4 linked regions of the Caenorhabditis elegans genome follow. The protein of the gene in region 3 interacts with the protein of the main gene of each other region in a pairwise test. Each region holds a gene or a part of one and is shown on either strand. Other genes may lie near its edges.

Region 1 (6,190 bases), on a different chromosome or scaffold from region 3:
ATGAATAGCTATTTGATTTTGGTCATTTACTATTAATACCATTAAGTAGTTTTGTTTTGACCACAATCAAATTTTTCTAATTATGACTGTGACTTCTTGAACAACATTGGAACACCTTCAGTAATTATTTGACTTTTGAAAGTGAACAACCACTTGAAATTAGTCATAATTGGTTCCAGTGACCTAATTATGTTTTATAGCGTGAATACCGAGAAACTAATCCAGAAACGTGTTTTAGAAATAAAATTGAGTTGGCGAATGTTGCAGATTTTTAATAGGAATGAAGTTTTATTTGAATGCAGGAATTACAGTATTTTAAATAATTTTGAAATTTAATTTGAAAGGTTACTCTGACACAAAAACATTATCACAAAAACAATAACACACATTCGATGTGATATATCAAAGAATGATAACACAACGAGAGTAGAGTTATTTCATAAATATAATTTAACGAACGGGAAAAAGGAAATGCAAGGTCATTATGTCTGCGCGTTGAACCAAAGTAGTACTAGGTCATCCCGGGAGGATACGGACGAGCGCCATCTGTTCACAGTGAGTAAGGAGACTATATAAATATGAGAGAGATTACGGCTTCTGTCTACGTCTACCGTTCGGCTTATTAATCCGCATCTTGACGACATGGTCCACGATTTAATTGTGCGATAGCTTTTTGTAAATTCATTTTTTTTGGAGTTTTTATTCCACGTTCTAGATGTTTCAGATAAAAAAGGTTTTCAGTTCTTTCACAGAGCCTAAAATTGTAGTAAATATTATTAGAAAAATACCGCACCACCGAAAAACCGGCAACAGATTTCCCGTAGCCATATAACAAACAAATATGTTTTACAATATTGACACATTCCTTAATTATTTCAAAAACTTTTTAGTCTAATAGTATCTGCACCAAATTTTTAAAAGAATTCAAAGAAATTTATCTTAACTTTCATTCGCTAAATGTTACTGAAAATCGAGGAGATACAGTTTACTTAGAATAGCAGTTTCATAGACAGTAAAGTGGATTCACCAATCATATCGAATAAATTGATAGCTTCTTGATATTCAGTGAACAATGATTTCATAACAGGTATTCAAAGGGTTCAGTAGATGATAAATTGACGATAGTATCAATTGAACAAACAGCGACTATTCAACTAACTGTGACGTGGGAAAAAGAAATAGATTCGATCGAGGTTCCAGCTATTTCTACTTTTTTTTATAGACAATTGATCAGTGATTCAGCAGAATTTGCATTTGAATTCAGGGTTGATGAATGAATGGGTCACACGATGAAATGATGGAAAACATGGAATGTCTTGGGACAAAAAATAAACATCGTTGAGTTGTCAAGTGGATTAATGATTTGGTTGGATCAGAAAGTGATGTTTTTCTGAAAAGGTTCTGGAAAATTACAAGGAAGAAAACAAATTTAGAAGTTAGTATTCACAATAGTGGCAAACAACTTAAAATATTTTGTTCGCAATTTTGGAAAATCTGAAAGAAAACTTTAACAAACAAAAATGTTTTTTTTCTAAATTCAAAACTTTATTCAATACATAGAGGCTGTTAAATCAATAAATCATATTGATATATGAAATTGAACATTCAGAGAAATGCGTATGCGATTCCGGCAAAAGCAGACACACTTGATACGGCGATGATACCATTACGAATAGCATTGGCTTTCCAGCTCATCTCACGCTTGATCTAAAAATTTAAATTAACTTGTTGTTTATTTCAATTTTTAAATACCTTGACAGCACACTTGACGTAAACATCTGAAGCTTCCTCGAGTTTTTCTGAAATTAAATCTTAATTTTTTACTTCTAATAAATTAATTTTTTTGAAACCAAAACTCCCAGTTTATGAAACTTACGAGCTCTTTCAACGAGATCGTCAAGTTTTCCCTGTCTCTCCATAATTTTTTGCACGTTCTCCTTCATGATGATTTTCACCTAAATATAATTGTTCATTTTTCTAATGATAAATGTCAAACCGAATTCAATTCCTGTCTTGTTCTCATAATCTTTTGATCGTCCCAACCAATACGACTCACTGGTAGTTGTTGATGAATCATGAAGTAATTAGCGTCTGCTGTTTCAGCAAATAAAATGTATTGATACTTTTTGAAATTAATTCATTTTTGTTGGAATGATGGCACGTGTGTTTTCTAACCAACAAGATTTTCACGGGGCATTAATTTATGATATAAGAATTGTATATTTTAGAACTCTTTAATTTTTCGAGACCTTTCATGTAGTACAAGTGTTTGAAAAACCCTATAAGTAGAAATACTCTAAAACATCCTTCCTAAACAAACTTTTCCCAATTATCGGTTTACCGGAGAAAGCTGACTTCTTTATTTTCTCCGCCAGTCCCGCATTTTCTTAGATTACTGGCATTTATTTCCGCATTTCACTATGTATTCTATGTTAGAACAACTTGGACAATTTATGAAAAGAAAAGTTCATTTATACTCGAAGGAACCCGTAAAAAATAATTCAACTTCCGGAACAACACTGCAACTTTTTCCTCACGAGGGACGAGGAAAAATGGTTTCTAGGCCATGGCCGAGGAGCCGACAAGTTTCAGCGGCCATTTATCTTGCTTTGTTTTCCGCCTGTGTTCTTTCGTTTTTCACAGCCTTTTGCCGTTTTTTCTTATTAAAACTGATAAATAAATATTTTTTGCAGATGCTAAAACAATTTCCAAGTAAAAAAATTATGTTATCAGTCGGCAAGTAGCGGTGAAAGTGGGCAACGTAATATGATGGATTACGGGAATACAAAACCCAATCGTTTTCCCAAACATGATACATATGCTGCTTAGATGCTGAAAGTACCTGATTTTTATAACGAGACCGCTGAAAAAGTTTTGAGGTTTTCAAAATTCAACTTTTTTGGTGAAAAAGTCGAGATTTTCGCACAAAATGTCGAGTTTTGAAAATCTCAAAACTTTTTCAGCGGTCTCGTTATAAAAATCGGGTAGTTTCAGCCTCTAAGCAGAATATATACCATGTTTCAGAAAAAGTTTGGGTTTTTTATTCCCGTAATCCATCAAATTACATTGCCCACTTTCACCGCTACTTGCCGACTGATAGCATTATTTTTTACTTGGAAATTGTTTTAGCATCTGCAAAAAATATTTATTTATCAGTTTTAATAAGAAAAAACGGGAAAAAGCTGTGAAAAACAAAAGAAAACAGGCGGAAAATAAAGCAAGATAAATGGCCGCTGAAACTTGTCGGCCCCTCGGCCATGGCCTAGAAACCACTTTTCCTCGTCCCTCGTGAGGAAAAAGTTGCAGTGAACAATTGAGCTATAATTCGATGTACATAAACAAGTATTTACAGCAACGATTTTTTTTTAAATCAACGAATCCTGTGCATTCTGATTGGAGCAGGACTTGGACATCGAGAATCTTCTGGTGGAACATCGCTGACAAGCGTCCTGTTTCGGGAGCGAGATATCCTTGAGAACACTCCTTTCCTGAAAAAAATATAGATAGTCCATTTGTTCACTAGTAAGTTTTCCTAAAATAAGTACACAAATATCAAAGTATTAGATTCGAGTTTGCGAACTAATTTTGTACTCTGTGATCTTATGACAAAACGACGCAAAGCACAACGCACACAGCACACGACTGTGAAAATCGTCTCATCCAGAAATAAATTTAAATGCAGAATCTATACTATAGTGATGTACAAAGAGCAAAAGATTGTCTTGAAACCTTATCTAACTGATTTTTAATTCTGTATTTTATTAGTCTCAATACGAAATAAGAATATATGTAGTATTTCTGTGGAATATTTTATAAACTAACCTGCAGTGTATTACATCAGATAGTGCATTCCTAAACCGTTTTGATAAACATGCATATAGAATTGGGTTAATCGCTGAAGATATGAACAAGAATATATAGGACAGTGGTTGGAATATCATTGTCCAATTTGAATTGCAGATGGTACCAGTTTGGAAACTCTGAAAGTACTTAAAGTTCTAAAATTTTAATCGAAATTATTAGTGGTGGTTCAAATTGTTCAAAAATCGTTTGATGTTTTAACATCCACTTCACTTTGATTCCTAATCAAAAAGAAAATTTAATCTCAAATAAATTAGTTGTCAATATTGGTTCTTCAATAAACCAGGATCCCGTTCTAAGTATTTTTATTTTTCTTGAGAATTAATTTTGTTTTTGGTTTCTCTTTCAACCCTAAAGGTCCATTGTGTATTTTTTGCGATATAATCATTGCTATATGTTATTTCTAACCTAGACTATTAGTTAACTAAAAACAAACCAAGGAAATATGCGGTAAACATGTCGAGAGCAGAACAAAATCTACACGTGTGTAAATCACTTCCTTCTATTTTAAATTTTTTTTAAACAACTATTTTACCCTTACAAGGGAAGTCTTTGAGGGGGTCCGTAGATTTGGAGTTCTCATGCTGAAATTCCTACAGAAGAGTGTTAGTTATGATCTCTCCAAAAAATTTAGCTGCCCCGGTCAAGTTTCAGCAAAGTTATGACGTTTTGAAATTTCAGTTAAAAACACCATTGAAATCCACTGTCTTACCATGCAATCCACGCAAATCTCAGCTTGCGTGACCACCGAAAATGTGACACCCACCACATTGAGTTGAAAAATGTCCTCGGTGGCCGAGTTGGGAGTGCGCGCGTCTGATAAGATTTAAGCTTTGGTTCGATTCCTTTTTTTTTTGAAATATTTTTGTAAGTTGAATAAAGTTGTAAAACAACTCATTCAAACATTTTTGCGTATTTTTAAAGTGATTTTACTCTTATTCGGGAACCTAGAATCATTGTCCGCACTTTTTGGAAATTTTTATTTTTTTCATTTTTGCTCAAAATTTCTTGATCAACTCCAAGCAAAAAATTCAAAAAATTTCATTTTTCTAAACAATTATGAAATTGCTATGTTGTTGTTCAGAAATGTATGAAACGTTTACCCAAGTTTTAACTCTCTATTCGCAAGTAAACCGTCGAAATGATCTACATCTCACGAACTTTGTGCAAAATATTTAACCAACTTTGAAGTTGCATAACTTCGTTGAGATAAATTATTTTGAAAAATGATCAACTAACAAAATGTTTGTTAAATAACAGTGAGCAAAGTTTTAGTTATAAACTTTTTGATACCTTCAGCCACCAAAAAGTTGTGACCGTTTTCCAAAACACAATGTTAATAGAAAAACAAGCCAAATGCCAACCTTGTTTTCTTCTTTGTAGCTGGAGGTATCAAAAAGTTTATAACTAAAACTTTGTTCACTGTTACTTAACAAACATTTTGTTAGTTGATCATTTTTCAAAATAATTTATCTCAACGAAGTTATGCAACTTCAAAGTTGGTTAAATATTTTGCACAAAGTTCGTGAGATGTAGATCATTTCGACGGTTTACTTGCGAATAGAGAGTTAAAACTTGTGTAATGTACGTTTCATACATTTCTGAACAGCAACATAGCAATTTCATAATTGTTTGAAAAAATGAAATTTTTTGAATTTTTTGCTTGGAGTTGATCAAGAAATTTTGAGCAAAAATGAAAAAAATAAAAATTTCCAAAAAGTGCGGACAATGATTCTAGGTTCCCGAATAAGAGTAAAATCACTTTAAAAATACGCAAAAATGTTTGAATGAGTTGTTTTACAACTTTATTCAACTTACAAAAATATTTCAAAAAAAAAAGGAATCGAACCAAAGCTTAAATCTTATCAGACGCGCGCACTCCCAACTCGGCCACCGAGGACATTTTTCAACTCAATGTGGTGGGTGTCACATTTTCGGTGGTCACGCAAGCTGAGATTTGCGTGGACTGCATGGTAAGACAGTGGATTTCAATGGTGTTTTTAACTGAAATTTCAAAACGTCATAACTTTGCTGAAACTTGACCGGGGCAGCTAAATTTTTTGAAGAGATCATAACTAACACTCTTCTGTAGGAATTTTAGCATGAGAACCCCAAATCTACGGACCCCCTCAAAGACTTCCCTTGTTAATTTCGTAATTAGCGGGGTGAAAAACATAAGAGAAGTACTTACAAAACATATTTTTCGAAAAAGTATCACGACAAAAATTGATTGCTAAATGTTACATCTTTTATGAAGATTTTTCTATCATAAAAAGTGTGTAGCTTTTTTTTGAATGATTCTACTTACCGTGTACAAAAGTCTTGCATG
Region 2 (8,703 bases), on a different chromosome or scaffold from region 3:
TTTTTTAGAGCAAAAATCGCCAAAATTTCGCATTTTTTGCAGTACTGTGACCTTTGCCTCCGTGTTTCCATGGAATTCATGTTCCCGGTGGGTGTGCTCATTGTGTTCTCGATCACACAGATTCTTATCACAGTATCTCCGGGAATGGCTTCTCGTATTCGGAATCCGATTCCATCACTGGCTTCGTTCATCTATATGTCATTTGTTTGTTTTTAACCTTCTGATACACCTAATCTTTTCTGAAATTTCAGTTTTTCAAGTGCATAACGAACTTGCTCACGTCTATCGCGATGCTACCCTATCTTGGATGTACCGATCAACCATCATTTTGGGGGGAGTATCTCGCTGCCGGCTTGTTGGGACTTTTCTGGATGTATTCGCTGCTTAACATGGGTGTATTCACTAGAATAACCTACCACAACTTCATTAGAGCACGAGAAAATTACGAGAGACAAGTTGTGCGGAATGGGATGGTGGTGGAACTTGAAGTTTAAATAAATAAATGTTTGGTTGGATAACGGGTAGATTAAAAATGAGCAGAACATTTGAAACACAAATACGGGGGAAAACGGGATGCGTATATATTTAATTAGACCCTGGAAGATGTTGAGCTTTGTGGAGTACCAGATGGAGTTCTGCGGCTTGAAGGGCCAACGAATCGCTGAAAAACTTGTTTTTATCATCTTCCAACCTTAAAAATAAACTTACGTTTGAGCTCACTGAAGTAGCTGCAGATGCTCTTGATTGAATTGATGATCTGGATCCAATGGAACTTCCAGCTGGCGTAGTTCTGGCCGATGTTGCTCTGCTCGAATTCGCGCTCATTGCAATCAACGGAGGACAGATGGCTGTCGAGCATACTTCCATGATGGTAGCAGCACGGCGACAATCATTGACAGTAATGGATTCACGGACCCATGCCAGGAACCTTAAAATTCAGTTACAATTATTTTTACAAATCCTGACACACTCACTTTCCTCTACATGGAGTCTCCAACTCTCTGAAATCCACAAATCCCATCGAATCACTCTCCGCCAACTGCTCATGATCGCAATTTGGCTTCAAGTACACTTGGAACAAGCGCTGAATATTTTCCTCATAGAATAAAAACTATTAAATAATTGAAGACTAACCGTATCACCAGAGACCGAGTAATTTTTACAAGTGAACGCTGGACATGGAGAACATTCGGTGATCATAATTTCACTGTCGACTCCAGCTTGTCGCTTTCCAACGAATTGAACTCCTCCGCCAATGGGGATTCCTTCCTTCAAGTTATTGGGGATTTTGAAGTAGACATTCGGATGTTTGGCACAAATGACAGTGTCTTCATTGATTCGAATTCCTTTGACTGGACCAACAACGAACTGAAAAATTCAGGGGTGAAAAGGACGAGTTTAATTTAACTTTAGAGACCTGAGTATCACGAAGCCAGTTTTCAAAAATGGACATTCCCGATGTACGAACAATGCGGTAACGGACAGATTTGTTTTCTGAAGTTCGAACAGCACGAACTTCGGCCTGAAAATTGAAAGCGTTTGTTTCAAAATAAGACCCACTCATGATTACCATAGCCTTCAAGAATTCATAACCAGCTGGATGAAACTCGAAGAATGAAAGAAGATGGTGTGGGTCATCAATCAATCCAAGAGTGCCCTCCTTGTCAACGAAGAGACCTCTGATACTGGCAGGAACGACGCGGGTAAGGAGCTGAAATAAAAATTATGTTCTGGACAAAAAAATCAATATTATAACTTACATTTCCGTTGACAGAGGTTACATGCTGTCTGAGAAGTGGAACTGGCTGAAGCTCATAGATCAGAAAACCGTTGTGCTGCATCGACCAAATAGCACTGAAATGAAAGTATTCTCCGACGGCTGGGTAGATCAAAGTCTTGTCCGTTCCTCGGGAAAATGGCTTCTGCAGTGGGATAATAAAGTCGAACTGCGAGAGTTCTTTGCAAATCAGTAGGCGTTCGCCGACATACAGGCCAAGCTGCATCTTGATGACCTGCAAAATCAAATTGTCAACGAGAATCCACAAAGCAACCTTAACCTCGGCCCATTTGTCTTCTGGCAAGTGCCAGCCTTCTCTCGGCTCGATATCAATTTCGTCGTCGCTATCAGCAGGCTTTGGATCCGGGCGCCAAACACCGAATTTAGAGTCAGGAGAGCCTGCGTTCCATGGCTGAAAGTTATTTGTTCAAAATCCCGTAAAAAATTTTTAAAAAGCAAATACCGCTTCACAGACGCGTGCTTGGTCGGATGGATCGCAACTGTCAAACGATTCGAATGTTGCAGTCATATTGAAAGGATCTAGACCACTCTTCATGGTAGTTTCGAATCGAATCCAGGCGTATAGCCAAACGTCTGGCTCCGCACGGGTCGCCTCTGTCTCTGCTGAAATAAATATATGGTTAGAGAGACGAAAATCAAGAAGAAACATACGCATGGTGACGGTGCATAATGGCGTCCAGAACGAGGTCGTTGAGGTGGGCTGGATGACGCCACCGACTTTCAAAATAAGTCCATTTCTGCTGGAAGACGCTTCATAAATTGGTTTTTCTCGTTTGATATGAAGGATTATCCTCTTATCGTGATCACAGTCCGATTCGTTCCATAGGATGACTTCACCGAACTTTAGCGGGATTTTGGATCGACGTCTAAAAATTCAAGTGTTAACAGATTAAAAATGGGCTCAAATCAAATAAATACTGACTCAAGATTTTTTGCCTCTTCGATATTATCGAAATTCCTCTCCAAGTTTGTTGGAACAAATGCGCACTTGGAGACACCGTACATGATGTTCTTCGGGGCCGCTTTTCCCTGAAAACGAGCTTATTATTTTAAATATGAAAACGGAGGGAATTCACGTACATGAGCTTGAATGAGATAAACGAGGTCCGTCTCCGAATCTTGGTTATCTTGTCCAGTGGAGGAAATGACGATACCTTGATAGTCAAAATATTTGGATTGGCGTTCTGACATTTTTGTCTGAAAATTGGATTTTTTGCAACAAAAAAATGATGAGCGAAACGAAAAAAAAGAAAAATCTGTAAAAAACGTAGGATTCGAAACAAATTTCCCACGAGAAATCAGATGCGCGGCGCAGTGGTCTCACCACGAAGAGCTACCGTACCTTAAAGGCACATTGGTGTTCAATGGCGGAAAAAAAAGTTTCGAATTTTTCCGTTTATTTTTCCATTAAAATTCTGTTTTAAAACTTATTTTTTCTGATTTTTCAGCGAAAAAATGGCAGATATTAGTATCCGCTCGACAAATTCCAATATATCTCGAGGAGCACGTCCGGAATCAGGCCGCCTGCACCGAAAATACCCGTATCGCTGGCTTTTCGATCAAGTTCATGTCAAAGTAATCGATTTTTTCCGTCTAAAAGCTAAATTTTAATTTTCAGAGCCTGATATTCCATGTGGAAGTGGGAATGCTCGCCATTGCCATCATCGGGCTCTACAGGGCCAGTCAAATGAGTGTCGACGAGCATTTCGAGCCGCCATCCGTTCCCGGCTTCGATGGACTTCAGTGGAACGGCGAAACGTTTCGAAACTTCAATGGAGTGCTGATCCGCCCGAATTATGTGCCGGCTCGGAATTTAATCAATATTTTCTCGTATTTTCTGATTTTTAGGTAGGGTTTCAGGGGATATTTTAGACTTTTTCCATCGATTTTCTTCAGCATCGCAACCGGATTCTTGGGAATGAGGCTCTCCGAGACGAGCATCACACGTCGAAACTTTCCCCGGAAAGTCAACCCGGCTCTTCTACTCATTCCATCCGCAATTTCTGTGGTATTTTGCTAAAAAAAATCGATATTTTCCCTTGAAAATCCTAAATATTTTCAGATTTCCATCTTGTACCCGCTCTCCGTGTGGACGCTGCGGACTCTTTACTCAATAATAAAGCTTTTAATCAAGGAGAATCTGAAATTTTCGATTTTGTTAGGTAGAATTTTTAATTTTTAATTTTTAAATGTGGACTACACCCTGTGGGGAAATTGCTTTAAAACACGCCTATGGTACCACAATGACCAAATATCACGTTAAAAAACTTCAAAAAAAATTTATAAATTTTATATGATTTTTTGAAAATTGAAAAAATCTGAAAAAGTTTTTGCCTAATTCCTATTTGAATTACCGCCAATTGAACTCGTTCGTTGGAGCGCGCTTGCATTATTTTTTTTATTAATTTATTCTATTTTTCTTCTATTTTTTCATTCCGTGATTATTTTCACTCGGGAATCGCTCGCCCACTATGGGGGAGTCTACGCAAGGACAACGCAAGGACAAGGACAACATTTTAATGGAATGGAAACGATTGCCCGACTGCACCAATTCTAGTTCAAGCGAACAATGATAACTTTTGTATTCTGTATTCCTTCACGTCTCCCAGCGAGCGTAATAAATTATTATTATTATTATTATTATTATTATTATTATTATGTCACTGATTTTCTTCATTAGTTGTGTATTTTTATCGGAAAGAGAAGTAAAAAAGCAAGATTAATGCAGAATGTTTGCTAAAAAGTGTTTAAAAATGTGAAAAATACGTAAAACTGTAAAATAATGAGTTCCGACGACAACAAACCTGAAACTAGCATATTTTTCAGTTTTACGCATTTTCAGTGATTTTTTAATCGGAAATTTGCATTTATTTTAACTTTTTCTCTAAAATTCAAGCAAAAATACACCGAAAACATTGAAAATCGGTGGAAAATAACAATAAATAAAATAAATAAATTTAAAAACGTGCAAGCGCGCTCCATCGAACAAATCCAATTGGCGGTAATTCAAATAGGAATTAGGCAAAAACTGAGATTTTTTCGATTTTCAAAAAATCATATAAAATCTAGAAAAATTTTTTGAATTTTTTAATCATGATATTTGGTCATTGTGGTACCATAGGCATGTTTGAAAGCCATTTCCCAACAAGGGTGTAGTCCACCTTTAAAGATTTTTAATTTTTAATCTGAAAAATCTTGATTTCTTCACTCCAGACGCCTGCCGATTGTCGTTTCTTCCCATCATCCTAGTGTGGGCAGTCTATATTTATTTTCTCTACGGATTCTGGCTAGGCGTGCTATATTACCAGCGACGAGGCGATCAGCCATCTCCGACTACCAATAATAGTGGGTTTTTCGAGGAATTTCAGGCCGAAAAATGAGAATTTTAGGCCCTTTTCGACGTCCAATCCGCAAGCAAACTGCTCTTCGATTCCAGGGAAAAGGTTAAAAAAAATTTTTTTTTTTGCTTTTTCGTATTTCTATATGCACTTTAATAGCGGAAATCATCAATTTAGCGTTTATTCCATTTTTTCAGCCAGCGTCAATTTGTTCTCGGATCTCACGGCTGTCACCAACGAGCTGGGCTCTCCCTCCTCACCATCGTCGAATTGGTAAATTATTCTGTGTTTTGGAGACGGAAATCATTGGAAAAAATATTATTTATCTGCAAAAATCCGAGATTTTCCTCAATTTCGCTATTTTTCAGGGTTGAAATCGCAAGAATTTCGGAAATTTGACTTGGAAATTCCCTAAAAACCTCTTTTTGCTACGTTTTTCGTGTAAAATTCACTGAAATTCTGTTTTTTTTAAGTTTTTTCTCTGAAAATCGTTAATTTTAGCCGAAAAATTATTGTTTAAACTCCGCAAAAAATCCGAGGTTCTCCTCAATTTCTATATATTTCGTGTAGAAATTGCGAAAATTCTGATTTTTCCTTAAAAAATTTCTGAATTTTTTCCATTTTTAGTATAAAATTCACTGGAAATCCAGTTTTTTGCCTTTTTCCCTTCTAAAACCGGTGTTTTCTCTTAAAAATCATTGACCAGATAAGATTTTTGCACAAATTAGGCATTTGCACGATTTTTCAGAAAATTTCCATTCGCAAAAAAAATTTTAAAAAATTTTTTAAACCTTTAAAACCGCTTATCCTCATTTTTCTGTAAAAAAATTGCAAAAAAATTGTTTTGATGTTTTAAACTTGAAAAAACCGTTTTTCGCCATTTTCTGCCCAAAAATAGCAAAAAAAAATTTTTTTTTTGATTTTTCAACCCTAAAAACAGCTTTTCCGCATTTTTCTGTCAAAAAAAATTGTAAATTTTTATTATTTTTTACCCAAAAAAACACCGTTTTCGCCATTTTCTGCCCAAAAATAGCAAAAAAAAATTTTTTTTCGATTTTTAAAAATTTATGCTCTCAAATTTCTCTCATTTCCTCCACCAATCCTTTCAATTTTTCAGCGTAATATCCACTGCAACCACCTCAATTCCCTCCACCAGCACCAGCAGCACCACCACTCCAAAACACAATCGATCAGTATCGCCACGTGGATTCCGTCATCTGGAGACCGTGGACGAGGAAGCGCAAAGCCGTACATCATCAAGTGATTAATATAATATAATAGAAAAGGCAATTAAAACCGATTACCAGATTCCGCAAATCTTCATCATCATCATAATTTTACAAAATTGTTTTCTAATAAACTTCACATTTCTCTCTCTATTCTCTCCATGTATATCGGCGGTCTATCGTCACTTTTATCGGTAAATGTACTTTTATTTTCTTTTTTTTTTTCGTGAATTTCGCAAAAAAAGCAGCATCGCACAGAAAAAGAGGCGGAGCGTAAATTCGCAACCCTGCGGCACGGTTTTTTGTTGATTTTTTGAATTTGCAAAAATCGCAAGTAATATCAAAAACCGTTCCGCGGTGTTGCGAAACTACGGTCCGCCTTTTTTCTGTGCGGCGCGGTTTCTAATCCCCGCCAGGCTGTCCCATTATGGTTTGATCTACAAAAAATGCGGGAATTTTTTGTCCAAAAATGTGTGGCGCCATGCGAAATCAGTTGAGACCTCTGCGTCTCTTCTCCCGCATTTTTTGTAGATCTACGTAGATCAAGCCGAAATGAGAGACACTGACACCACGTGTGCTTTTTGATTCGTGAATTTCGCAAAAAATCAGCATCGCACAGAAAAAGAGGCGGAGTTTGCAACCCTGCGGCACGGTCGGTTTATTGTTGATTTTTTGAATTTGCAAAAATCGCAAGTAATATCAAGACTATTGAAAAAGATCAACAAAAAACCGTGCCGCGGTGTTGCGAAATAACACTCCGCCTTTTTTCTGTGCGGCGCGGGTTTTAATCCCCGCACGTGGTGCCAGGCTGTCCTATTATGGTTTGATCTACAAAAAATGCGGGAATTTTTTTTTAATGTGACGTCAGCAAACTCTGCATCTCTTCTCCCGCATTTTTTGTAGATCAAACCGAAATGGGACTCTCTGACACCACGTGATACCCCAATTTTGAGAATTTTGCTCCAAAACAACTCGGGTCTCACCACGAATAATTTTTATTATTTTTTGTCGTGTCGAGACCACGAAATTTTCCGCTTATTTATAATATTTTTCTGTTTTAGCGAACTTCACAAATGTATCAGCCATGCCGGAGCACCAGCTCACGTGGCAGAAGCTCGGAGGAGGTGAACGACACGTTTCATCAGGTCTACGTGCCACTTTTGAAAATTACTATGGTAAAAATTACTATTTTGCGGTATTTTGGGTCTCGTAGCGAAACAATTATTTGATTTTTGGGAATATTTCACCATTTTGTGTGGCTTTTTGAATACGAGGCGCAAGTGCGCTCCACTGCCAAAAACGTTTTCCACAAATTGTTCGTAGTTGTTAATGATTTTTATGTCGATAAAATGTTAAGCATAAAAATTGAATTTTTTTAAACCTAAAATTTTTGAAATTTGCCGAAATTAATTGAAAACTTGAAAAAAAAAGTTTTTTTTTTGAGAAAAAAAAATTTCAGATAATTTAAAAAATACAAGAATTCGTAAAATTTTATTTTTACGGATTGAAAAACTTTTGAAAAGCTTTTAAAAAGTAACTTGAAATATTTTTAAATCAATTTTTTTGCTGAAAAAACTGAATTTTTTTTGCGAAAAAATCGAAAAACAGAAAAATGTTCTAAAAAGGTACTGTAGTAGTACTGCAGGGGTACTGTGGGAGTACTGTAGGATTACTGTAGTTTGGGAAAAATTACGTGTTTGTTTTTTGAAGGTATATTGGGTTGTATATTGGTGGGGGACAATGCCAAGGTACTGTAGTAGTACTGTAGGGGTACTGTAGGATTACTGTAGGATTACTGTAGTTTGAGAAAATTTGAGTTTTTGTTTTTAGAAAATATATCGGTTTGAGGTTAGTGACTCATCGTGATGAGACCCATAAGTTTTGGCGGGAAATTCAAATTTTCTGGAAAGTTCCAGGATAATGTGTAATTGTACAAACACGTGGTGCCAGGCTGTCCCATTACGGTTTGATCTACAAAAAATGCGGGAATTTTTCTCCCAAAAAAATGTGACGTCAGCACGTTCTTAACCATGCGAAATCAGTTGAGAAATCTGCGTCTCTTCTCCCGCATTTTTTGTAGATCAAACCGAAATGGGACTTTCTGACACCACGTGTACAAAAAGTTTACATTAGCACTTTAAAGGTGGAGTAGCGCTAGTGGGGAAATTGCTTTAAAACACGGTACCACAATGACCGAATATCATGATAAAAAAATTTTTTAAAAATTTTCTAAATTTTATACGATTTTTTTGAAAATTGAAAAAAATCTCAGTTTTTGTTAATTACTATTTGAATTACCGCCAATTGGATTTGTTCGATGGAGCGCGCTTGCACGTTTTTA
Region 3 (7,967 bases):
TGTCGGAAAAATGCCATCAGAAAATAAAAAAATGAATGATTTTACATCATATCCCTTCTGTTTTCCTAGTTCTAATTCTACTTGTTATTCACTTTTACTCAAATGTTTATTGCCAACAATTTTCTTTTTATTCAATGCGACTATATACTTTATAAGTGATCAAAGTATACGTTTTTAGGGTCAAAAAATTCAAAATTAAAACTGAAAAAAAAATCAAAACTCACATAGCCTTCTTATCGGCAATGAATCCCTTGAACGGCGGACACACACGATCGACGAGGAAGACGAACGAGGCCATCGCTTCGTCGCGGGACAACGAGCCCAGCTCACGCCAAGCTTTGCTGAAAATAAGAAAAAAAAAATTAAGATTAAATACGTAACGGAATGGAAAAAAAACGAAGAAATAACCGCTTGAGCTTCTTTACTTCAAGCTTGGCTATTAGGTTTCAGTTGTTTTTCGATTGGGATAGAAAAAGAGCAAGCATTCGTCATATAATCTCGAGATGTAACACAGAACAACATTCAATTTATCATCATGCGGGACTGGAGATAATGACGTCATGAAAGAGCCCAAGTATGTAATACGTGGCCGTTGGGGAGAGAGAAAACTCGGCCAGGTCACTCAGATTCGCAATTTGGCTCTTTTAGCAGGAAAATTTCGAGCAAACATCGCGGAAAAACTAGATCAACAGATCTAAGAAAGCGGTTTTTGGTACGTGGCCTAGAAAAATCATAAAACTCGGCCGGCCAATCATTGATTTCACACGGCACGTGATGCCAAGCTGTCCCATTACAGTTTGATCTACAAAAAGTGCGGGACATTTTTGCCCAAAAAACTCACGTCAGCACGCTCTTAACTATGCTAAATCAGTTGAGAACTCTGCGTCTCTCTTCTCCCGCATTTTTTGTAGATCTACGTAGATCAAACCGAAATGAGACACTCTGACACCACCGTGTACAGTTGTGACGTCATAAATGTGTTTAATTACATTTTGCAATATTACTTGAATTCCATAAGAGCGGTTTTTGGAACATGGCCTAGAAAAATCAAAAATTCGCCCAATCGTTGATTTTTCACTGTAAGAAGCTTGGCGATTTTTGGGTGGCCGAGTTTTTCTATTTCGCACGGCCACGTAGTAAAACTGCTCTGTGCACTGCATTGAAAGCGAGTGAACAAGAAAACTACAGTAATCCTACAGTACTTTCTGATGATTTCAAATCAAAAAATGAGATTTCTCAACGGAAAAATAGCGAATCCAATGCAAGAATTTCCAGTTTTTTTGGAAATCTTTTTTGGGGCAGAATTTCAAGACCGCCCCGAGCCCAACAATTGGAGCCAATCAAAAAGCGCCCAAGCAGGGAGTAGATCACCAAAAAGTGCTGAAAACTCCATCTCTCTCTCTCTCATGGGGCATGTGACACACCAAACACCTTCTCAAATCTATCAATTACATCTTCTATTCCGCAAAAAAAAAGTGCATGCACACAGGGAAAGAGCCGGAGAAAAGAGCACATCAGACACCCCCGCCAATAGGTGATATCGAAGAAAAAAGGGGAAGAAAAGGAACACTCTTGTGTTATTCAAGGTAGGAAAAGCAGCAAATTTTTCACTCATTTTCCTCTCAGTCAGCTCAAAAAGAGAAAGGATTAGCCGAGAAAGAGAGAGAGGATTTCAGGATTTGAGGAGGAGGAAGAAGCCAAGTGAAGTGCTCAAAAGCTACAAAAACACTTGAAAATTGGGTGGAAGAGGAGGAGACCCTTAATTTGTAAAATTGAAAAAAAGACAAGAATTCCGAAAGTTCATTTGGGTAGTTGGGTTTTACCACACAATTTGATTACCAACTCGTCCAAATTTTGATCTATGACCACTCAGAAAAGGCTTTCAGTTGAGTAGATAGACATATAGTCATAAATCTCGGACAAATAGCCGCTTTTTATAGTCATCTATTTTTTTTTATAGACTTGCAATTATATCGGAAGAGTTGAAGATGTTGAGTAGATCATTTTCTCGTCAACTACAGTAACCCGGCAACATAATAGCTAAGTGGTGTCAGCCTGTCCCATCACGGTTTGATCTACAAAAAATGCGGGAATTTTTCGCCAAGAAAAATGTGCCGTCAGAAAGCTCTTAGTCGTGCAAAATCAGCTGAGAAGTCTGCGTCTAAATACCCGCCATTTTCGTAGATCTACGCACGTGGTGTTAAAGTGTCCCATTTTGGTTTAATCTTCGAAAAATTCGACGCAGGCTTTTCAACTGATTTCGCATGGTTAAGAGTGTGCTGACGTCACACTTTCCTGGAGGAAACATTCCCGCATTTTTTGTAGATCAAACCGCAATGAGACAGGCTCACACCACGTGTCTACGTAGATCTAACCTCGGGCTCAGAGAACCTGGTAAGAAGGAGACAGTGGCCAAAACCTTCTACCGTTGTCAGGTAGGTTCCGATTAGAGCTGTGCGGCTGATGACTCGGCTGATGGAGACAATCAAGTTTTTCAACGTGTTAGCACTGATCAATTAAAGAATATTTGTATTTGCAGTATTGGCTGAGTCATGAGCTTCTTATTCTAGAAAAAAGTTTTTTTTAAAAGTGCACACACCTTGACAAAACAGTCGGCTTTTTGAATCAGCCGAGTAACTCGGCTGTCGGCTGTCGGCTGATTGGAAAAACGAGTTTTTCTGGAAGGGGTGTGCACTTTTTTAAAAACTTTTTTCTAGAATTAGAAGCTCAAGACTCAGCCGATATGGCAAATACAAGTATTCCCTAATTGATCATTGCTATTACGTTGAAAAACGTTGATTTGCTCCATCAGCCGAGTCATCAGCCGCACAGCCCTAGTTGCGATTCCAAACAGCACAAGAACAAAAGGTTGAAAACTTGTCATCCCTGCCGTCTTGTCAAAGAAGACGTTATCTTCTGACAAAAAAAAACGGAAGAAGAAGAAGAAGCCGATGTCGTCTGTCCAACTAGTCGTCGTCCCCACATCCCTTCCAACACCATCATCTTATTAGCATTCCTCGCGTCCTTGTCACTTCTTTTTCCCTTCTTGTTAAGTTAGATTTTTGGGTTGAGGAAGAAGGCGAAGTCCGCCCGGGACGGCGGAGCTACACACAAATTCAATTTTGGCGAATAGAAAAAAAGGGAGGAAGAAGCTTCTTCCCCTCGTCTGTGTGTTTACTCTTACTACTTTTGTACGTCTCTTGGATGGAAAGAAACGGAAAACGTGAGTCAGAAGAACAGACCAGAGTAGCGAGAGAATCCCCACACAAATTTCGGTAGAAAATTTGATTTTCCACAAAGGAAAGCAATCCAACGAAAACAAAACCAGAAAAAAAGTGAACTACTACTAAAGAAACACGAGGAAACGCTGGATATCCTCGTGGGAAAACCTTAAATTTTGCTGGAGGGCGAAGGTGACTTCTCTTCAAAAAAAAGCAAGTGTCATGAGAAAAACACGGAATGGATATCAGCACTTCCTGATTATCAGACACAAGTACTGGAATGTAGATAGACAGAGAAATATGACGTATTTCTTCTTGCAATGAGGACTACATTTTGGTTGTAGAATGTTGATGAGAGGTTCTTCCTTCAAGTAAGTACGGTAGGACATTTTCCCGAAAATTTGACATGATAAGTGGGTCTTGCCACGATCTCAGTCACGTTACGGGTGCACCGCATGGAGTCCGAAAAGTCTTATTCCGATTTGATCTTCAAAAAATGCGGGAGTTGAGACGCAGACATCTCTTCTGATTTCACATGGTTGAGATCGTTCTGACGTCACAATTTTTAGAGGAAAAAATTTTCCGCATTTTTTGTAGATCAAATCGTGATGGGACAGTCTGGCGTCGCGTGGTTTCTGGCTTCCTCTCATAAATTTAAATGAAAGAGTTTGCCGAGCTAGGCCATTTTGGCTCTGCCATATCTGGGCCAGAACCCCGTGAAAAACTCAGAATCCGCACGCAGAAAAAAGTTCCGTAATCAGGAAATACCGTAGACAATTGTGAAACCGCCTCGAAAACAACAAAGTAACAAAACAGAAGGATGTGCCGTCAACTTTTTAACAGACGGAAAAACGAGAGAAATAGGGCAAAAAGGAATGAAAGGAGAGGAAGAAGCCACCCAATTCTCCAGAGATTTCAGTGTTGCTCCTCTTGAGCAGGAGGAGGAGGAGAGCCAAATTGGTGGGTGTAGCTGAAATTTTCGTCGACAAAAGAGGCTGAAAATCAATTTGTGACGAATTCTCGACAAAAACTTCTTTTCTTTTTTGAAAACATGTATGTCTATCTCTTTAGGAAAGAATACAAAATGACTGATGAGTATTAGGAGAGCCGGCTCTTATGAGGTGAGCTCATGATGGATTTGTATCCATATTTGGGGCTTTTTGGCTCAGAGCTCCGAGAGCATCAAAAGTAGAAGACCTTTCGGGCTGCCACGGTTTTCTGGCTTCCCTCATAACTTGAAATGGAAGAGTTTGCCGAACTAGGTCATTTTGGCTCGGGGGTAGATTTACGGCGCGTTGCGTGTCGCGTCGCGGCTCGATTTTAGTTGAAAAACTATGTAAATGTATTTGTCCGTGTGGAGTCCGGCGAGCGATTGTCAATGGAGCGCGAAAAATTCAATGAGGAAGGCCAGAACCCCGTGGGGCTGTTATTCGTCAAAGAACTGAACGAATCCTTGGAAAAAGCCAAAATAACTGGTAGACATTGAACATTCCTTCTCTCTCGAAAATCAAATTTGCACACCGCCTGCTTTTACGATAATTGGCCACACTTGAAAAGGTTCTAAAGAAGGCGTCCAGCAAAAAAAAATATATTTCGGACAGAGGTTTCAAAGAGAAATAATTTCTAGTAGCAAAAGTGAAGGAAGAAGCCGCCGGGACACACAAAACACGTATAAACGTCCCAAATGGATTAGACGAAACAAGACGGCGAGTGGTGGAGCAGGAGGAGGAACACGAATTTGTACTGACGAGCAACAAAGTTCGAAAAATCGCTGAAAACGGCTCTATTTGAGGTGCAAAATTGCCATAAAATAGGTTATTTTGACAGCTTTTTCAGATTTGCTGCTTAATTTCAGAGGAGAAGGCACTAAAATTGGAGGATTTTAGCCTAAAATTTTGGAAAATTCATTTAAAGTTTGAGAATGGCTTGAGGGCGCCAGAAGAGAAGCCTAGAAAACTGAATTTGTAAAAAAAAACTGTAAAAAAATTATAAAATTGGATTTTTTTTCCAACTTTCTGAAATTTTCAGCTACATAGTTTTGCGTGGAAGAATTGTGAATTTCGCCAGAAAACCAGCGTTTTCTCTCTTTTTTGGAGCTCGTTTTCCACTTTTTGTTGATTTTTTTCAATAAAATGCCGATTTTACTTGTCATATTATCTTTTTTTCGAATTAAAATGTTATAAAATTTAATTCTCATAAGATTATAAGGATATTCAGATTAAATTAATTACTAGAATTTAATTGGATAACCTTTTAATTCGATAAAAAAAGAATAAAACTAGTAAAATCGACATTAAAAAACGGTGCCACAGGGTTGCAAAATTACGCCCCGCCTCTTTTTCTGTGCAAAATTCACGGATCGATTCAATTTTTGATCAAATTTCTGAAGAAAAACCGCTAAAAATTAATTAAATCAGAAGAAAAGTTGCCAATTCTCCGAGATTTCTATCCTGGAATAGAATAGGAAATGAAAAACAAAATGAAATTTTTTGGAGATTGCGTCTTCGTGTGTCCTTCTTCTTTTTTTTCTCCAATTTTGTTCATCATTTTCGAGAAATGAGGGTGTGGGGGGAAATTGGAAAAGGAATAGAGTGTTTTCTTTTTTTTTGTTAGAATTTTGATTGAAAATCACCCACTTCACATCGTTTCCAGTGATATCTAGCCATCCAGCGTTGTCAAATTCATCGGAAATCTCTCCATGTTGGACCTGGAATTTAATTTTTATTTAATTTTTGATTTTAAAACTGGAATTTTCACTTGTTTGCTCAACGAGAGCAATTTAATGCGATCTTCATATCCAACAGGCTCCTGTTTCCCGACGTGTTCTGGAAAAAAACTCATTTTTTAAAAAGAATTTTTAAATCAAAAAATACCTTTTTTATAATATTGAACGGCAAGCTTGTAGCATTCCTCGAGAGAATGTCCGAATTCCGACTGAATCAGTTGAACCTCGCTTAGACGGACGTGGTTCTCGTCGGCCATCTCTGAAAATGTGCGAAAATTGATTTTTAAAATGCCAGAGCGCAATAAAAATCAAGGGGAAACTGGAAAGAAAATCAGATAAAAATCAGAAAATGAGAATTGCAGCCGGTTTCTAGCAATTTTCATATGTAATTTCGACATTTTCGGTATAAAATCCATAGAAATTAGATTAAAGATCACAATTCGAAGTAAAAATCAATAAAAAATCCAGATTTTCAGAACTTTTTAATGCAAAAACACGAAGAACAACGCTGAAAAAAATGAACGTGGATCCGATGTGGCACACCATTTTGTGATGTTTTGTGTGTAAACACCGGCACGCGAAAATGCACACTTTTGCAGTTTTCAGCTGCAATTAGCAAGGAAAAGCCTATTTTAAAAGTTTTCCAGTGGTTTTTTGGCTTTTTTAAAATTATTTTTTCCAGATTTGAGGCTAAAAATTTGATTAAAAATATAGAAATATTGTATTTAAACTCAAATCCCGCGAAAAACTCGGAAAAAACTGAAAAATTTAGGGTTATTCGGCTAAAATCAAGAAATTTGGAATTTCTCCAGATGTTTGCAACTTTATCATAATTCCTTATTGTAAAAACTGTTTTCTCACTCAATTATTCAAGATTTTCCCGAGATTCGACGAAAAATCTTCTAAATTCTCCCTAAATTTTGTATTTTCAAGGTTTTTTAGGCTGTTTCAGGAAGCGATTTGCTTTTTTTTCAGTTTTTCTATAGATTGCAACTTTCCGCGAAACTCAGAAAACGGAAAACTGGACTTTCTTTAAAAACATTTATTTTCTAGAATTTTCTTCCGCTTCTCCACTTTCTAACTTCAAATTATTCAAAAAAATTCACAAATTTTCCAGGGTAAAAATGGCAACAAAGGAGGAGCTTCTCTCTTTGGGCCTCTCTGATTCAAAAGTAGCTGAAACGCTGAAAAATGTGAAGCTCACCGAAACGATCGGTTCAATTGTGAAGCTTGCGAGCGAGTCTGGCGAGATTTCCAAGCAAAAAGGAACACTTTTGTACCAGTTGGCGACAAAGTTGAAGCCACAAGTCGCTGCTCACACTCCACTAGTTGTCAAGTATATTATGAATGACGGGATTAAGACAGAGCCACAGGTTTGTAATTAAAATTAAATTTCAAATTAAAAAAAAAACAGCTAAATTTCCAAATTTCAAAAAAATTTCAGCTCTCCGCAGCGATCGAGTATCTTCTCTCGCACACCGTTAAAGGTATCCAAGTGCCTGATTTCGAGAAATCATGCGGAGTCGGCGTTGTTGTCACAATCGACGACATCGAAGCGGCCGTTACCAAGGTGATTGGCCAACACCGCGAGAAAATCGTCGCCGAGCGGTACTCGTTCCCGGCCGGAAAGTTGCTCGGCGAGCTACGAGCTCTGCTTCCATGGGCTGATGGTGCGATTACGAAGAAGGAGGTGGATTTGAGATTCTTGGAGCTGCTCGGACCGAAGACTGCGGAGGATTTGGCTCCGAAGAAGAAGGAGAAGAAGCCGGAAGGCCCGAAAGTAAGGCCTGAAATTCCGTACTGTTCTGAAAAAAATTATTGAATTTAATCTACATTTTTCAGGACTTTTGCCGGAAATTTGGAGGAATTCGCAACCGCCGCACGCTTACTTCGCAAGCCTCGCGCGTTTTCTTTTCAAGAGAAAAAGCGTGCGAGGCTTGCGAAATAAGTGTGCGGCGGTTGCGAATCGGCTCCGCCCACTGCATTCTGTTGGAAAATTCCAATTTTTTCTTCGATTTTGA
Region 4 (8,094 bases), on a different chromosome or scaffold from region 3:
ATATTGAAACGCTCTAATTTTCAGCCAAAAATTGACATTTTTTAAATTTTGGCAATTTACCGCAATTATGGGTTAAAAATTTTATAATAATTTCCAGGCGTTTGATCATGTTTTTCTAGTCAAAATCCCCACTGGAGCTGCTCCTGCTTAATCATAAATCTCATGATTTTTCAAAAATCCTAGCATTTCAAAAATCATGCACTTTTTCAGTAAATTTCAAAATAATACTTTTCGCGTCTAGATTCTTCCGGGCAGTTCCCTCAGGTGACTCTCCCTTCCTTCAATATGTTATCAGTTAACTTTCCGTCTTTTGACGGTCAGCTGACCTATGAGTGATAAAAAAATGGTGAGCACACACAGACAAGATGACCGGAGCATCAACCCACGTGTCCCAGTACTTGGCGAGATTTCAAGGAAATTTAAAGAAAATGTCTGAAAAGCGGATAAAAAACTGTAAATTCAACTGTAGAGGTATGCAGTTTTAATTAAGCCTGGTGTGTAGGCACATAGTTGCCTGCCTGGTTGCTCCGTGCCTGCCTTGTGTCTACTACAAAATACACATTTTCCGGTCTATAGGCAGGCACGTAGGCAGGTAGCCATGAAAAAAAACTATGTTTATCATATCCTCATTTTTCAAAAGCTCAACATTTTTTGAAGTTTTGGCAATAAATTGTTTGTTGCAAAAAAAATTTAACATCGCGGTATTTGACGCTTGGTTAAAACCTGAACCAGGTCCAGAGTCTCGACCAACTATTGCCAACTTTTGAACGAAGTCAATAAATTTTTTTAAATTCTGGACAAGAAGCTAGCGAAGAAATATTTATTAAATATATTAAATAATTTTTCAACCCACACAAATTTACTTTAACAGGCTCAGGGTTTTCTGTGTTCCTTTTCTTTTCATATCTTTTCTGGCAAAAGGAATCATGTGGCATTTTTGAAACTATTATAGTAAAGTTCAATATTTCATTAAACTCTAAATTTCTATTTCCATCAATCTCACCAATTTCTCCTTTCCATGAAAAAGTCACCAACGCATTTTGGGAAGAAAAAAAGATTAATCCGAAATGAATTGAAAAAGGAACAAAACTTTCACTTAACCAACGAACAAATACCACATGGTTTCTTTTCACTTTTTTCTTATCAAATGAAATCATACAGTCTCAATATGATCCACCCATAACCACACAAACCAGCAGAAAAGTGCGGCAGTGGAAAAAAAACGTTCGGAGTGAATGTTTCCCCCGGTCACGAGGTGGCGATTCAACTGGGCAGCAGCCTGCGTCTCTTGTGTCTCTAATTCTCAATCTAGCCAAGTTCATACTGCCATGTCATCCTGAGAGATGGAAAAGAAGACGAAGAATTTCTATTCTGAATTTGTATGTGTGTGTAAGCGTGTGAATACGTTAAATAGAATGGCAGGTAATTATCTCTCCTGCTCCGCTTGCTCCGTTGGCTACTCTGGGTGTGCCTATGATATTGCTTTTGTAGGTTACCCGTAGTTAATGTAGTCCATTTTAAATTTGTTTCCCTGTTGCTAAATCTATCTACCATTTCGCACTATTTTTTTTCTTCTTCTTCTTCTGTTTCTCTTTTTTGACTAGTTTTGGCTTATACGTTGCTCTAACATGTTTGAGAAGTTTTGCACATTAAAAAAATAAGATTTCAAAAATTTTTGGAAAATTTTTGAGAAGTTTCAGCGTAATTTCAGAGTTAAAATTCAGATAAATTTTGAGCGATTTTTTTAATAAAAAATTAATAAATTATTTAGAAACGTTTTTTTTTGTTTTGAGACATTTCTTGTGCAATTTGTGTTCAATTTTTGAGCACTATAAAAAATAATTTTCCATATTTACGGTGCAATTCTAACAATGCTGAGTTCCCAATTTTTCCTGACGTTCTCCAACTTTTCTGACATGCCGTCAACTCTTTCATGAATTCCAAATATGAATGTTCCGTTTTGTTACTTCAAACTAAGTTTATACTGACAACTTCCTTTTTTTGGAAATGATTCATTTAGACTTGATATAATTAATTACCTGCCATTAGGTTTCTATCTTCTTTTCTATTGGCAGAATTATCTATCTTCTCTCGATCTTTTTTTTTATTTTGTTTTTTGTTTCATTTTCATTTTTTTTTCTCAAAATTTCATTTCACAACTTTCTCAAGTTACTCGATCAACTTCTTTCTTCTTTTCCAAAACTTTTTTCTGACAAAAAACTCTGAAACCCAACCCTCTCCCCCAATCCACGTCATCAAAACTCTCTGACCTACCTGTCAATGTGATTTACGATTAACAACAGATGCCCCTCTTACATCTGAACAGCCGACACAGCACGTGCTTTAAATGTTCTAGCTGTCTGCGTATCTAATATAAACTGGCATTTTTGTATGTTATAGATTGACAATTGACTGTAACTGGGGGAATGGAAACAGTTGGAAGTTTTCAAAATAGAGGTTATGGAAATAAAAACAATTTTGTTTGTTTGCTTACGTCACTCACCACACTCTTTCCATGAACATATGAGTTGATATCAATTGATAACATGGAAAAACGAGACAAATTGCATATTGCTATATTTATTTTCGCTTTTTCAGATGTCAGACTTTCTAAATTTTCAATATTGTTACTACTAGTACTGCTTCTTTTTTTGTGAGCTTATATCTTGGCTCATTTTTTTAAAAAGAGAAACGTCAGTAGGAGAATTGTTCAAAATATCTTCTATAGTGCAATTACCACTAAAAATTGCAAGATTTATTTACAATCAAGATGTGCCAATTTTAAATTTTCGCGGCTCATAAATTTGAAAGTCATTTTTTAAATCAACCAGAAAATGGTTTTTTATAACGGGTTTCAACATAAACGATTGTTTTGGATTATGTGAATTTGAAAAAAAATTTAATAAATTTGTAATGTTAAAAATATATTGTTGTTTTGGCAGTTTCAGAATTTTAATTGAATTTAAATTTGAATGTCAGAAAAAATTCAAAAATAAGTCAGTTATTGGAACTTTTTTTCAAAAAATATTTCCTTTGCCAATAAGCACTATAAAATCAGCAGTGAATTCGAAAAAAATTAAGTGGCTGTTAAATAAGTCAATATGCGTTTGAACAAATGACGTAGAAATTTGAGATCGACTTTTTCTTATTCACATTCGTGCTTCTCTGCGTGTTTTCCAAAACACGGTCGCTCTGTTTTGATTTCAACATAATATTTAAACAGGTGAACAGACCGCCATGCAAGATTTATCGGTCAATAAAAGGAAGCTGAAAAAACTAATTTCGAAACCTTCGAGAACAGAAAAAAAAACTGTTTCTCTTTCATGGGCAGGCATTTCATGAGATTTTTAAGTGCTTTCCTTTAAATAATTTTGAAGCCACCATGATTTTGAGCTTATCACTGACACCCCCATCTTTCCCCTATTGTCATTTGAAACGTATGACTTGGATCTCTGTTTGAGCTGAAAAAGAGATGAATGAGATGAAAGAGAAGAAGACAGAGGGCAACAACAAAAAGAAAAACAAAATAGCACAAAAGAGCGAGATGATCGAAAACCCCGAGAGAAAGCAAAAATGCTCATCACCTGCGGTGAGACGGCAGCTGTCCCCGCAGAAATATCATGTACCTGTGCGGAGACGCAGGGTATACAATCACATGGTGAACTCCTCGGGGTCCCTTCATCTCGTGTCAGCACATTTTTGTGAGCTCCAAAAAATTTTGTCACGAAAAACACCACTTCATGGATGCTGAAAACGAAATGAACGCTGAAAATGTCGATGTGGAACTTTTCTTTCGAAAACCACCGGAGATCACAAATTTTGAGTTGGTTAAGACAATTTGGATTGACCCGAAAGGTGAGTGTTTTTTCATATTTTTTTTAAATTTAGTTTGTAAAAATGCAGTTTGAAAAAAAAAAATTGAAAAAGCTTGATTTCTAATAGATTGTATCTCTTGCTAGTTTTTTTTGTGAATTTTGAAAATTTTGAAGTTCATAAGAAAAAGCATTATATAACTTTTTTAACTTAAAATTTCTGAAAAAAAACTTTAATAAATGTTCCACGTATCCAAGTAGGCACATATCCGATATCTACCTCTGAAATTTTTGTTTTTGATTTTTTCAGTTTATTTCTAGACATCCCGCAAAAATGATTCAAAAAATAGTTTTTAGGCATTAAAAAAGATAAAAAAAAATTTAAAAAGATAAAAAGGTAAAAAAGTCGACAAAATTATGTGGAAATTGTTTGGATTCCGATATATTTCGGAAAAAAATCTGAAAATCAAATTCGAAAACCCATATTAAAATATCGGAAAAGAGCTTTTGGAGCATTTATAGGTCTCAAAAATAAAGCAAAAAAACACTGAAATAATTAAAAATCAAAATTTAAAAGGTCGAGATTAATGCTTTGTCAAGGTCTTTCACTTAGAAAAAATAATATTCTTAAATTTCCTTGGAAAATCTTTTTGTCATTTCAGAGGAGACAAATTCCACAAACGAGCCAACATCTGAGCATGAGCCAAAATCCCTCCAGCCACTTGCTCTTCAACCCCTTCAAACTCCTGAGTCAGAGTCCGGTGGGTCCTCTTGTTCTCATTCGGAAGTTGAACAACTTCCTGACGATATTCTCAATGAACCTCTTGATGATGAAGTTTTTGAAGAAGAAGAAGAAAATGTGCAAACTGATTTACTGTTCCGTCAGCCAAAGAATTCAGAAATGGAATTAGCTTACACCATTTCAAAAAGTGCCGAAATCAACCTGGATGAATTGGAATTTGAGGATGAGGAAGTCGAAGTGGATCTTTTGTTCCGTGAGCCAACTGATCGTCGATTTGAATTGGTTTATACAATTCCAATGATGGAAGATGTGAGTATTGATTCTCAGGAAACCATTACTTTTGAGGACATTCCACCATCTGAAGAACTAGATAACGTTGTGGAAGAAGTTACAGATGTTGCTGAACTTACTGAATTTACATTTAAACCAGTTGAAAAAGATGAACAGACTGAAACTGAGTCATTCACTACAGTCCTAGAAGCGAATGCTGGAGAAGGTGCAAGAGACTTTATCGAAAGAGTTAAGTTGACTTCCAATGACACTTTGGATGATTTGGATGATGATCCTGAGGAAGAAACTTTCCAAAATTCGTTTGTAAAATCTGTGGACTCTAAGACGCCAACTCCAACAGGAGACAATTATGAAATTGAGGATTCCTCTGTATCTGATGTTCTCAAAGATGCAGCCGAAAAATTGCAAATAATTCGAAATTATTCTGCGGACTTGGAATCCGAAAAAGATACAATTAATACGGATGTTCAGCATGTCTTCATTGGTCTTGAGGATGAAGGTGGTGTTATACCAATAATCCAAGAAACACAAGAATATGTTGCAGAAATTGGACCTACTCAAGATAATCAAGAGTATGATTCTACTTCTAAAAGTGATTTGGAACCTCAAAGCTCTGCTGATGGGGTTGTGGAAACTTCGACTTTCGAAGCCCCAGCAGTCTTCGGATTGGAAGATTCTGAAGATATTATAAATAAGCATGCACTGGAAACAGCATCAAATCAAGAATTCTCGAAAATTAAAGAGCCTGAAGTGACTGAAGTTTCTGAAAATACCGCAGAAAATTTGAACGAAGAAGTTGGAGAATCTAAGAATCCGGAAGCAATCGATCTTGTAGAATCTGGAGAGAACGCAGGCATCGAGCAAAATGCAGGAGCTGAACAATCTCAAAAAGAAGCGGTTGAGGAAACTTCAAGTTTTAAAGCCCCAGCAGTCATTGGGTTGGAAGAATCTCGAGATATTTTGAAAGATCCTTTACTTGAAACTGCACCAGATCAAGAAAACTTCAATAATAAAGAATCTGAAATGACTGAAATTGCTGAAATTACAACCCCAATTAGACTTGAATCGTCTGGAGACAACTTCATTGGTACCGATCCAGAAAAGGGCACAGAACAAATTAAAGGTTCTGAGAGCTCCGAATTAGTAACCCAAGAAGTCATTGGGTTGGAAGAATCTGGAGATATTTTGAAAGAACCAGCATTGGAAACTGTAACAAACCAAGAACTTTCTGAAAATAAAGTTTCTGAAGTGACCGAAATTGCTGAAAATATAACCCCAATCGGACTTGAATGTTCGGGAGACAATTTTATTGGTACGGATCCAGAACAGCAGCCAGAGCCCATCAAAGGGATTGAAAGTTCAGAATTGGATGTCATTGGGTTGGAGGATTCTGGAGATGAAGTGAAACAATCACAGTTGAAATCTTCAGAAGATCAAGAATTTTCTGAACTTAAAGAACACGATGCATCTGGAAATGTTGATGAAACTGGTGAGAGCGCAGATATCAAACAGGATGATGTAACGGAAATTGTTCAAAGAGAAACGATTGGGCTTGAGGATTCTGGTCTTGCAGAGATTGTCGCTGCTCATGAGAAAAATTTGACATCTTCTGATATTGACAGTTCTGTGATTCCGGAAGATGCGGAAAATGCATCTCCAGAGGCGATTGGCCTTGAATCTTCTGGAGACAACTTTATCGGTACGGATCTAGAACATGAAGAAGGTCAGATTGACAATTGTGAGAGTTATGTATTGGAAACAGCAGCTGTCATCGGTTTGGAGGATTCTGGAGAGAACTTGAAAGATTCTGTACAGGAAGATCCACCGGAGAAAGAATTCTCTGAAAATAAAGAATCTGAAGTTACTGGGGATGTTGAAAATACAACTGCAATCGGACTTGAATCTTCAGGAGAACACTTCATCGGTCTGGAACAAGGACAGCAAGCAGCTTCCATTGAAGCAAATGAGAATTCTGAAATGGAAGCTCCAGCAGTTATCGGTTTGGAAGATTCTGGAGATAATTTGAATAGGCCTGCATTGGAAACTGCATCAGATCAGGAAAGTTCTGAAAATAAAGAACCTGATGCATCTGAAAATGTTGAAGAAACTGAGCCAGTTTCATCTGCAAAGGTAATTGCGCTGGAATCATCTGGTGATTGTGAAGAAGGAAATATCAAAATATCTGCTAATGAAAATAGCGTGGAACCTGATGGGGCTGACAAACCAGCACATACAGAACAAGAAATTCCCACAATAATTTTGCCGTCTGAAACTACAGTCACTCAGCTAGAAGATCATCTTTCTGAAACTGAAGAGAAGCAAAACGAAGTAGAAAGCTCAATTAAATCAGAAAAAAATGTGATTGGACTTGAGGATTCCGGAGATACTTTCCGGGATACGAGTGGCCTTGCTCCTGCTGAAGACAATGAAGCTGAAGCGACCATAACTACAGATTTTGTTCCACTGGAATCTGCGGGAGATATTCCTTCTGAGAACGAGATCAAGGAAGTAGCATCTGCTCCTGATGTTGTTGGTCTTGAAGAATACATCATTGGAAACATCCCAAACGCTCCAGTTGTTAATGATGATATTCCCAACGTTTTTACTCCGGAGGTAGCCAATGATGAAACAGTGGAAACTTTTAGTGTTACAGCAGAAGAAGCTTCTATTCCTGTTGTTGTGGAACTTGAACCGATAGGTGACGAGTACGAATTTCAGAGACCTGTAGAAAACTTCTCGGAACCATCAGATAACATAAATCTTGAGGAGAGTGGAGCCGAGCAGGTCTTGTTAGAAAATAATATGTTTACGCCACTTGATGAACTTGAACCTCAACAGAAAATCTTAAACGAAAAAGCGGAGCATATTGAAATAGAAGCTTCTGGTGATGAGTTCATCAAAGATCACCCATTTCCTGTTGAAAATGAACAGAATGTCAACGAACAGAGCTCGAGAGTTGAAACCGTACATAGTTTCATTGGACTTGAATCTTCTGGAGTTGGTTTGACTGGAGCTGTTTCAGACTCAGTTGCCAACAATGTCAAAGAGAATACAGAATCCCCAGATATCATTAGTCTCGAAGCTTCTGGCGATGAGCTTTCAAAGCTTGTTGAAGCTCGAGAAATTATAACAGAAAGTAAAGACGCTTACTCTACAGATGTACCCGAAAGTCGTAAAACCGTTTCGGATGTTATTGGTCTTGAAGAGGCAGGTGACAAAATTGTTTCGAACAATGTTTCCAATGTGATG

Evidence for each region.
Region 1: the proteins of Y41E3.7 (region 3) and snb-6 interact in a two-hybrid assay, tested with the Caenorhabditis elegans proteins (one large-scale study listed by BioGRID).
Region 2: the proteins of Y41E3.7 (region 3) and Y65B4BL.4 interact in a two-hybrid assay, tested with the Caenorhabditis elegans proteins (one large-scale study listed by BioGRID).
Region 4: the proteins of Y41E3.7 (region 3) and ret-1 interact in a two-hybrid assay, tested with the Caenorhabditis elegans proteins (one large-scale study listed by BioGRID).

What each region holds. Positions count from the first base shown.
Region 1 is NC_003280.10:8,857,543-8,863,732, forward strand, and holds snb-6 (V-SNARE coiled-coil homology domain-containing protein), read right to left. Parts: upstream 2,155-6,190; 5' UTR 2,078-2,154; coding exon 1,997-2,077; intron 1,956-1,996; coding exon 1,877-1,955; intron 1,800-1,876; coding exon 1,753-1,799; intron 1,708-1,752; coding exon 1,606-1,707; 3' UTR 1,524-1,605; downstream 1-1,523. Other genes in the region: npr-20 (Thyrotropin-releasing hormone receptor), read right to left, coding at 3,371-3,488, 3,823-3,980, 6,170-6,190.
Region 2 is NC_003279.8:500,763-509,465, reverse strand, and holds Y65B4BL.4 (Dolichyl-phosphate-mannose--protein mannosyltransferase), read left to right. Parts: upstream 1-3,215; 5' UTR 3,216-3,253; coding exon 3,254-3,373; intron 3,374-3,416; coding exon 3,417-3,646; intron 3,647-3,694; coding exon 3,695-3,806; intron 3,807-3,860; coding exon 3,861-3,960; intron 3,961-5,011; coding exon 5,012-5,143; intron 5,144-5,187; coding exon 5,188-5,241; intron 5,242-5,333; coding exon 5,334-5,409; intron 5,410-6,253; coding exon 6,254-6,404; 3' UTR 6,405-6,575; downstream 6,576-8,703. Other genes in the region: Y65B4BL.7 (uncharacterized protein), read left to right, coding at 43-204, 252-494; P-granule-associated protein deps-1, read right to left, coding at 590-661, 709-928, 975-1,084, 1,135-1,368, 1,418-1,522, 1,571-1,711, 1,761-2,012, 2,058-2,189 and 4 more; Y65B4BL.3 (uncharacterized protein), read left to right, coding at 7,436-7,537.
Region 3 is NC_003282.8:15,012,280-15,020,246, reverse strand, and holds the start of Y41E3.7 (Golgi resident protein GCP60), read right to left. Parts: upstream 6,213-7,967; 5' UTR 6,204-6,212; coding exon 6,095-6,203; intron 6,047-6,094; coding exon 5,979-6,046; intron 5,929-5,978; coding exon 5,858-5,928; intron 4,993-5,857; coding exon of another isoform or gene 4,911-4,992; exon of another isoform or gene 4,751-4,910; intron 342-4,750; coding exon 225-341; intron 1-224. Other genes in the region: qars-1 (putative glutamine--tRNA ligase), read left to right, coding at 7,071-7,319, 7,391-7,726.
Region 4 is NC_003283.11:14,842,977-14,851,070, reverse strand, and holds the start of ret-1 (Reticulon-like protein), read left to right. Parts: upstream 1-3,758; coding exon 3,759-3,855; intron 3,856-4,474; coding exon 4,475-8,094.